Caenorhabditis elegans: one gene and its partner. The protein of the gene in region 1 purifies or fractionates together with the protein of each later gene. This does not show direct contact. Each region holds a gene or a part of one and is shown on either strand. Other genes may lie near its edges. The genes, in order: ric-4 and syx-3.

Region 1 (3,947 bases):
CAAAACTATTTATAAAAAATGAAATAACTCCCGACGTGCCCATAAATATCCGTACAGATTGTTCAATTGTTTCCCCAGAAGTGTTTAACATTACGTGATTGAAAAATGGAGCTGTGAATTTTGAAGGAATTTCTCGAATTATTTACAACCTAAAAAATAAACATCTGCGTTGGCGTTGATTAAAAAGTGATGTTCAGGCACAAAAGGAAAATATATAAATATCAACAAATATATATATTTACATAGATTGGACTAGTTCGGCTCATTTGAGTGGAATAAAGCCTAACTTTTAAATAAAACAATGTTTAATTATTGAAACAAAAAACGAATAAGCGATAAATTAATAGATAATATTCGAAACTCAATTGGCATCAAACGTCACTTTCAATGAGATTAGTTACAGAATAATCTTAAAAATTGACTTTTGCTTACAACTGCGGCAAAATTAAAATTGTAGACGTAGTTTATATAAGTGAATAGAAATTTATGCAATCAGACGAATTCTGATCATCTGAAAGTTGTGACAACTCATTCCACCTGCAATTTGATTAAAAATTATAGACTGCTGTAATCTGTCATCAAACCACAAAAACACAGAAAAATTGATAGTTTGTGACTATTCGTCATTTTCAAAGATCAATTAATTTTTAAAATTCTGTTAAGTGCAAGTATTTAAATAATTTATTCGTTATTATCCATACTTTGTTCATTCACATTCGTTTCATTATAAAAAATTAGGGCATTTCTGAAGCATGTAAAATGAATAAATGGGGGAATGTAAATACTCACAACTACCAGGTGTTTCAAGTTTCAGCTATATTTTAAGTTTTTTGTGGAAATGGGTGTTTTTTTGATTTAAAAAAAAATAATTTGTTGATTGAATAACAATTTTTGAATTTTCAATCGAAAAAAACAACTGGTCCAAGAGTAGGAGAAAAATACTGGGAGTTTTGAGAAATTATGCAATGGAAAATGGAATGGTAAGATGAGACACAGAGAGTTTTGAAAACATTAAAATATTATTTTGTGATGAGATTCTTCGCACGCTTGTTAGCAGATTCCACACGGACTTCGTTGGATTGAGCCTGGAAAAACATTGAGTTAAATAGAATATTCGATGATTTAGATTCTCCCGAGTTTACTGAGTTTCTCAAAGTATTACAACTAGAACCAGTATAAAAATAGATCATTATTTTTGATTACAAAGTTTCAAACGAACATTTCTCAATAAAGTTTTCAAGGAAAAATATTAGAATTAGTTTCTCATAGTGACATAATGTTCGATCAATACATTTTCAATCTAAATTAGGTTTTTGCAAATTTTCTTGTTATGCTTTGAAAATTCAAATTATCATTACACTTACCTTGTCATGAATTCTGTCGAGTTGTCTATTCTGGTTGGAAACTTCTGTGCTCATATCAATTGCCATGTTACGCAAATTGCCGACCATTGTTGAAACTTGTTGAACATTCTCGTCCATTTCATCTTCTCGTGCATCATTAGTGATCCTTCAATGAAACAATTGAAATGTTATCTTATTCTAATAAAACTTACTTGGTAATATATCCTCCTTGAGGTCCCATCGATGAATCTCCAACAGTGATCCTTGGCTGATCAGAGATAACACCTCCATCATCATCTTTCTTCCATGCTTTTGCAAATTCCGTCTTTTCAAAGTCATCGGTCTTGTTCCATGGCAATACACACAAACCACAACATTTTTCCATTCCTTTCAAATGATCTTCTGCTTCTTTCATGTCCTGATTGATTGTATCAAGAGCACCTTCGCAACGCTCAAGTTGTTCTGAAAACCACAAGAATGTATTTAATAGTCTAGAAGTTTGATGACTGACCTCCTTGATCATCGAGCATAACCAAAGTTTTGATTCCAGCCTCTTTACTTTCTTCGCAAAGAGCCAACATTCTTCTGGTGGATTCCAATGACTGAAACGAAACATTTATAAATTTAAGAGACAACTTTTTTTCATTTCCTAAATTTATCTCAAACACATCTTTCAATCAAACTTCTTCTGCATCAACTATTACCTCTATAGTCTTTTCATCAATTCCCACATTAAGCCCTTTAAGCTCATCACTCATATCAGCTGGAAGTACCAACCCATTGATATCGACAGTTGGCTCAACGGCATACGGACGGGGATGCCGTTGGCCGCCGGGAGCGCCGCGCCGAGCCGACATCCCCGTTTTTTCAAACTTTCAAAACCGCCCCGGCTACACGGGGAAACGATATTCGACGTTGTTTTCGTATTTATTGGTACCTTAAAACTTTTCAGATACGAAAGAAAGAAAGAAAACAAGAAAAAAATTTAAGAAGGTCTTGTCAACATTTATTGGCTTGAGAGAATCCGTGAATCAAATTTTCGGCACCTAAACAAAATGACAACAATTTCACGATTGAGGGAGCACGCCGAAACGAAGAACAATGACGTTTATGGAAGAAGACACAGATTTCGGAGAAACTTGATAGGAATGAGAGCCACGAAGGAAAAGAAGGGCACACACTGGATTGACTAAACATCCATTTTCAGAATTGGAAGACTATGCATGTTCTCCCGAGTTTGGCCAGTTTGTGACAAGCAAATATTTGGAATAATATTGGTTTGAATTACAATTAGCTTTTTCAAATTATATGAAACAGCAAAAAGCCTAGTTTCTGATAACAACTTTAGCCAATTCACCTCCAAATTACATGGCTGATGACCGGAAAATGAGGTGATTGCTTGTAATCTTTGATAGAAGAATTATATAAATGCGGTTCAAAATAAAGATATACATAATTAAATGCAACCATCCGAAATAAAAGTTTAAACTTTTTAAATATCATGATAAATGAAACATTCGATCACTTGAACGTCTGATAAAATATTATAATTTAATTTATTGAAAAATTTCCTAATTGAAAATAAACAAGTAAGTATAATGAAAAAAGATTTAGCTTTTGGAAAGAAATCACGAAATGCCTATTCCTGTTATTCAAAGTTTCTAAGGTGATCTTACAATTTGTTGTTTGGGTAGTTTTTTGATTATGGCTGACTATGATTCATGAATAAAATGAGAGCTACTCATTGATCAAAAACATATCTTGCCTTGAGGCATTTAGTTTTGTTCATATGCATTTCCAAGATGCTACACAAAGTCATAAAGTCAACAAGCTCTTCAAGTCTCACTTTAAGTCAATATCTTTAAAAGGTCTGAACTGGGAAACTGAGCCCCTTCTGGCTTCTGGACTCGGAAATTTCGGTCTTGAGAGAAAAGTAAAGAATTTATGTTTTCGATTGGAAAGAAGTGGTAAGTAAATTCAGAAACGAGAGAATAAAACAACCCAGCAAAAAATGGAGGATGTGGAGGGACAGAATGCAATACGTAAATGGAAAAAGGGACATGCATTCGAAATGAGAAGAAAGATATGGAAAAGTGTGGAAGAAAAAGCTGGAAGGAGAAAGGGACTCTTGGGAGTTTGATTGTACTACTAAAAGAGAAGAAGAAAGACAAATCAATCAAAACTTTCACGTCGTTAGTCAATGAGAATGAAAGAAGAAAAAAGAAACGAAAAGCTGAAGTTTTTGGTTGGTGAGAGAGCCTATGCTAATTGGGGGAATACCGGAGGGAACTACTAATCGAAGAGCTCTAACTTTATTTTTTAATTTGTGATTTGATAAGAAAAACAATGTCTATCACATCACAAATTGAAAATAAACGGATAACTAGTATTTTCTCACGTGGATATCAAACAGGCTAAATAGCTTCAAAAAGACAATTTTTTGAACATCAAACCGAAACTAACACAAATGCTACTTGGTTTGCAGTGAAAGAGCTTTTGAAATTTGAAATTTTGTGGTAATGTATGAATGGAGTTTTTAGTGAGTTAGGAGGAAAGCGGAGACAAAAAAAAAGAAAGCTACCATAAGGAAGTTTCAAGTTCAAT
Region 2 (5,357 bases), on another chromosome or scaffold:
AAAAGAATCAAGGAAAATTCGGCAAAGACAAGTTGAAAGTGTTACCAGGTTATACGACAATTGGATATTTTTTGGAAGTTTTTGCAGTTACTGGTTTCTGACATTTTTGGCTATTGGGAATTGCTAGCTCCTCGACATTTAAGCAATTGGCAATGTCGGCAAATGCTAGTTTCCTAATTTTTCAAGCACGCAAAAATTTTGATAATTTATGGTTTTTGAAATTCTCAGTAATTTGCCGTATTGGAATTTGCTGATTTTATTTGTGTTTTCTCGAGAAATGTTACACAAAATTTTCTTTGTATTTCATGACTACTAGAACTTATTCAAAACACTTTATAACATTAAAAAAAATGAAATTCTTATCAGAATTCTCTTTATTGAAAGAATTTTAATTATAAAACCAATTCTTGTTGATATTCAAAGCATAGGTCACACATAATACAACAAAAAAGACAAAGGCACACAGAGAAAATATTGAATATTAAAACACACAATAAACGGCAGAAAAGCTGAGAACGATGAAACGGATAAGTGAACTCCATATTATCAGTTGGAAAATCTGCCAAATTAAAAATTAGAAACGAATCAAAAAGTGAGAAAGATCTTAAAGCGATCAAATTAGTGACTGGTCGTGATGATGAGGGATGTGCAATAAAGATACAGTGAAATACAGTGTAATCAGAGTTGCCGCAATTTTGCAGCAAAACAACCATATGTTTGAGCATTTAACAAATAGGAGTAAAGTGGCAAACGGCAGATTGAATAAAGAGAATCAGAATTAAAACAGCTATAATTGAACCAATGATGATGCACACCTTCATTTTTCGAGCTCGTTTTTGCAAGTTTCGGGCTTCTTCCACATTTCCACGCGCTTGTTTAGCATATTCCGTGGCATTTTCTACACTGTTAACAATACTGTCCACCATCTCTCCCTGAAACAAAAACAAATGTTCAAAATGGTTACTTTATTGACAACTAGGTCGTTTTTAGATTGAGATTTTTTTAAAAATATAATTCAATATTTCCAAAGTTTAAAGCTGCAGTTTTGATATTGAAAACATATATTAAAAAATAATTTGGATTTTAAAAAGATTATTGGAAAGCAACAGTAAGATGCATTGAAAAATTCAAAAACAGTGAATGGGGATCATTTTTTGATCGATATAACAGGAATGCAGGTCCAGGTGGGAGAGCAAAATTAGACAAATTACGGAGTCGAAACATAGCTCCTCTCTTTATTGCGTTCCTGACAGAAATCACAATAGCGCTCCTATGAGAAAATTCGAAAATAATTGTGAAAGGTTGTCTAGATTTGCACTGAAAAATAATTTTAAAGAAAATTTTGCGTTTTGATTTCGGCATCGTATCTCGAACAATTTGTTGCATTTGTTTTTAACAAATTTAAAACTCCTAAAATGTAGAAACTTTAAAAAATTACAGTTGTAAAAACATATACAGAATGAAGCAAAAAAATTACCAAAATCAATAATATATGAATTGAAGCCGAATGATGTACCTCTCCCCGAAATGCATATGAATTTTATTCCTTTTCACGCGATCGCTTTTTATGTGGTTTTTTTCGGAAAAAAATAAAATAAATACTTGCCTGACTGACAACCATTATATGGAGATCGTGGAACATTTGTGCCAGTTCGCCCATCTGACGTTCCAAATTTTTCAGCTCATCCGCTCGGGATTTAACTTCATCATATAAGGCCTTTTTCTCGTTTAGCGCCAACATCACACCTTTTGTTACTTCAGAAAGGTTTCCAGAAGATACTGCATTTTCAATCTCTTCATCGCTGAGTTGCATGTTTCCTAAAAAAAAAATTTTGTTTACTTTGCGATTCTTGTAAAAAAAAATCTTCATAAACTGTATTTTTTTCAAATATAAGTTAATGTATTTTCCGAAATATTTTCAGTCATCAATATGATAAATATTTTTTTAGGTTTTCCATATTGTAAAATTGTACCAACTTTATTCTGAAAAAAATACAGCAGCTGACATTTTACGGGTCGATTTTTTACTACAATTTGTGAATCAATTTGAAAACTACGGGACTTTGCAATACAGTTTTATTATTTATTGAAACAACTGGGCATTGGTTTTTTTACTCGGAAAAAAAGTTTTTAAAACAGGGCGTCCGGTTCGAAAGTTTTATGAAAAGCAGTAAACTACTTACTAATTTTTAGGTAGTCCACAATTTTCCTCTTTGCCTTCTCTTTATATTCATCTTGTTCTCGATTAAAGTTCAACATGATATTTTCGAAAGTCTTGTAAATAGATTTCACTTGATCACTTTTCGCACGCATAATTCCGCACGCTGTAGTTGGTATTCTGCTGGTTTCCTCCGATAAAACTGAAAAAAAGTTTCTAATTCAGATACTCTAGATTCCAATCAATTACTTTTCAAACTATTTTTGATTTGTTCCGCTTTTGAGAAAAACATCTGGTTGTGACTTTTCAATTTGTTCGAGTTTTCTGAATCCGCACCAGGCGTGGACAGAAGTGCTCCGTGGAGTTGCACGACTGCGTCGTAGTCTTCCTCGAGACTTTTTAATCCTCCGCGAATATTTGAACATCTTTCTAAGAACTGAAAAATGAGTATAGTTTTGGGATGTTTGTTTTTAATTTATTTGTTGCTTTGTACTTGTATTTTGTACTTTTTTTTCAACTTTCTTTTATAAACGACTTCAATGAATTGAACAATTTCAAGTTCATTTGGCATTATTTTTTATGAAAATCGATGAAGTGATTAGTTCACTGCGTTTGAGCTTTTTGAGCCTATTCATCACTTTTCTGTGACATTTCTGTGTTTTGGATTAATTAGAATGAGCATTTTCGTAGTTTATGTACAAGTACTCAATCGAAGAAATTAAGCAATTCCAAAATAAAGTTTCATTATCACTTGCATCATCTATTACAGAACTCCATGTTTTGATGTTTTAAACTAGATTTTTTGTCTCAAAATGCCCAAACATTTAAGATTTTGTTTCAAAAAAGGCTGTAAACAAAACACTTACCATTTCAAAGTCAGCATCTTGATTTATTAAAGGTTGGGATTCCACGTCATATTTTCGTGCAGGTGGATCATAATTATATGCATGTATAGTGTTAACTGTTGCTTTTTCCTGAAAATTAGCTGTTCTTATTATGAAGATAACTTGTACCAACAAAATCCATTTGAGTACCCTCAGAACAGGGCTAAGTTTTTTTTTTTCGGAAGTTGAATTTGTTTCTCCAAAATAGACAACGACCAAAATTTTTTTTGACAAGAGCACAAAACAAGCAAAAACTAAAAATTGTGAAATTGGGAAAATTGTTGTTTATAAATTTGAAATTTTGCATATACTTACGCTCTAATTACAATTACGAGGGTCATTAAAATTGATAAATTTAAAAACGAACAATCGTCAGCCCTTTTCCAGATACATTTTTGAGATTCGTTATTTTACTGGTTCTTGTTCATAGCTAGCATGTTGAAAAACTTAACAGCAAAACACATGTTTGTTTTTGTTTTAATGTTTTGTGTATAATTAACATTAAAAACATGTTTTTACACCTTAAAACAAACCCATTTAATATATGACTCACTTGTAATTCCTTTAACCGATCCCTAGGCATTTCTGACTACGACGAATTCCTGAAATTTATTATATTAATTTTGATTTTTTTTCAGTAGAACAAGCAAAACCAAACAAAGAGGGGAGAAAAATTTCAAGTATTTTGCTGATAATATTTTTTTCTCATCTTTTGAATTATATTTTTCAAGAATGTTGTTATCATTTAAAAATAACTCGCGTAAAAACGATAAAAAGAATTATGAACTTTTCCTAGAAGCTTATAGTTTTTGGAGCAAATAGCAATGAGAAACTATGTTCGAAATTTTAAAAAATCAAATATCATCTGTGTGGGAGGGCTGAGGGAAAAAAGAGAAAAAATATATTGAGACCAACAACTGACAAGATGAGAAACAGACGACGATTTTTCGAGAAAGATTCCACTGTGAAACACATTTTCATCTTATTAAAACAAAAATCGTACTTTCGTCATACCTATGCCGCAAAAAAGATGGCAAATCGGAGAATTTAAAAGTGAGAGATAGAGAGGTTGCAGGTGCTTGACTCGGTCAATACAATATGGTTTTTAACAATTTGTCGGCTTGTTTGTTTTCAGCACTTTTTTCTTCGTCTCAACCAACTCATTTCGCATGCAGCACACAGCACAGAATATATGACATAAAGTGAATTAGAAATTGGAAATTTGGAAGAAAAACCCAGTTGTCTTCAAACAAAAAGTAAAAGTAAAAGTTTTGTTGGAATATTCCATCTTATTCCAATATATGTAACTTTTTTATTTGAGTAGGTAGCCAGTAACCAGAAGAGTAAAAAAGAGAAAAAGTTCACTAACCAAGAACTACAAAAGGGTATTTAAAGGGCACCATCAAATAGGAAAATAGCTACAACACAGAAAATGGAGAAGATTGTGGGCAATTTGAAGCGGCGAACATGCTCCGGACGCATGCACTAATTGTGCACAAACGCGATACAATAAATGAGATTTGAAATAGAAGGCCAGCATGAAACCAAAAAAAAGGGAAATTTTTGAGAGGGAGCAAGTAGACAAAAAGAGTGAAATGGGGTTGCAGAAAGGAATGAATTCATTGATGACCCATGGAAGCTCGCGATGGCGGGGGGTTTATGTCGTCTATTGTGGTTGTGTTGTTGTTGTTGCAATTTCGAGAAGTAGAATGACATCACATATCAGATGGCTCGTAATCAAATATATTTCTCGTACCACTTTTTTGGCTTTGCGTTGAATTTTTTCTGAAATAAATTTTGTGAATTTTTAAAATCCATATAAAAAATATAGGTAAAAAATAAAGGTTTTGCGCTCATCTGGAGCTCATCAGAAGCCCGTTGCGTTGGCCTCTAAAGCCAAAAATGTGTTTCAGGACACTCTATGAAATACCAACAGTTTTGACGTGTTACATTTTTGTTTAATCTTTATGAATTGGTCAAAATAGTGGACCTTCGTTGATTAGTTGATCAAAACAAAACAATTTAAAAGTCTAATGTTCCTCAACAAAAAAAACCATCTGATCATATGCTAATCACTTTTAAAATTATCTTTTCGTTTTCTGGTGGACTTTTAGAAAATACCTTTTGTTTCTAGAAAAGCACAAATTTTGAAAAATCCACATTTCACTGTTTTAGGTCAAAAACAAAACTTTCTGAAATTTTTAAAAATTGTCAATAAAACGAAGATTTTATTTCAAAATCATTTTGCTAAAATATTTGAATATCACAGTGAAACTTTTCAAAAACGTTCTGAAATTTTCTGATTTGAAGTGGTG

What was found.
Region 2: the proteins of ric-4 (region 1) and syx-3 purify together in Caenorhabditis elegans (affinity purification with western blotting, with the first as the bait; one study listed by BioGRID). This does not show direct contact.

Annotation. Positions count from the first base shown.
Region 1 is NC_003283.11:10,260,464-10,264,410, forward strand, and holds ric-4 (Synaptosomal-associated protein), read right to left. Parts: upstream 2,281-3,947; 5' UTR 2,201-2,280; coding exon 2,048-2,200; intron 1,946-2,047; coding exon 1,855-1,945; intron 1,806-1,854; coding exon 1,556-1,805; intron 1,510-1,555; coding exon 1,365-1,509; intron 1,086-1,364; coding exon 1,020-1,085; 3' UTR 668-1,019; downstream 1-667. Other genes in the region: sri-18 (Serpentine Receptor, class T), read right to left, coding at 1-91.
Region 2 is NC_003284.9:5,347,385-5,352,741, reverse strand, and holds syx-3 (Putative syntaxin-3), read right to left. Parts: upstream 3,645-5,357; 5' UTR 3,626-3,644; coding exon 3,596-3,625; intron 3,133-3,595; coding exon 3,025-3,132; intron 2,595-3,024; coding exon 2,408-2,594; intron 2,361-2,407; coding exon 2,184-2,360; intron 1,819-2,183; coding exon 1,603-1,818; intron 929-1,602; coding exon 726-928; downstream 1-725. Other genes in the region: C26B9.1 (PH domain-containing protein), read right to left, coding at 4,780-4,827. UniProt on the Caenorhabditis elegans protein: Potentially involved in docking of synaptic vesicles at presynaptic active zones. Acts in the intestine to regulate anterior body muscle contractions (aBOC) and the expulsion steps during the defecation motor program (DMP).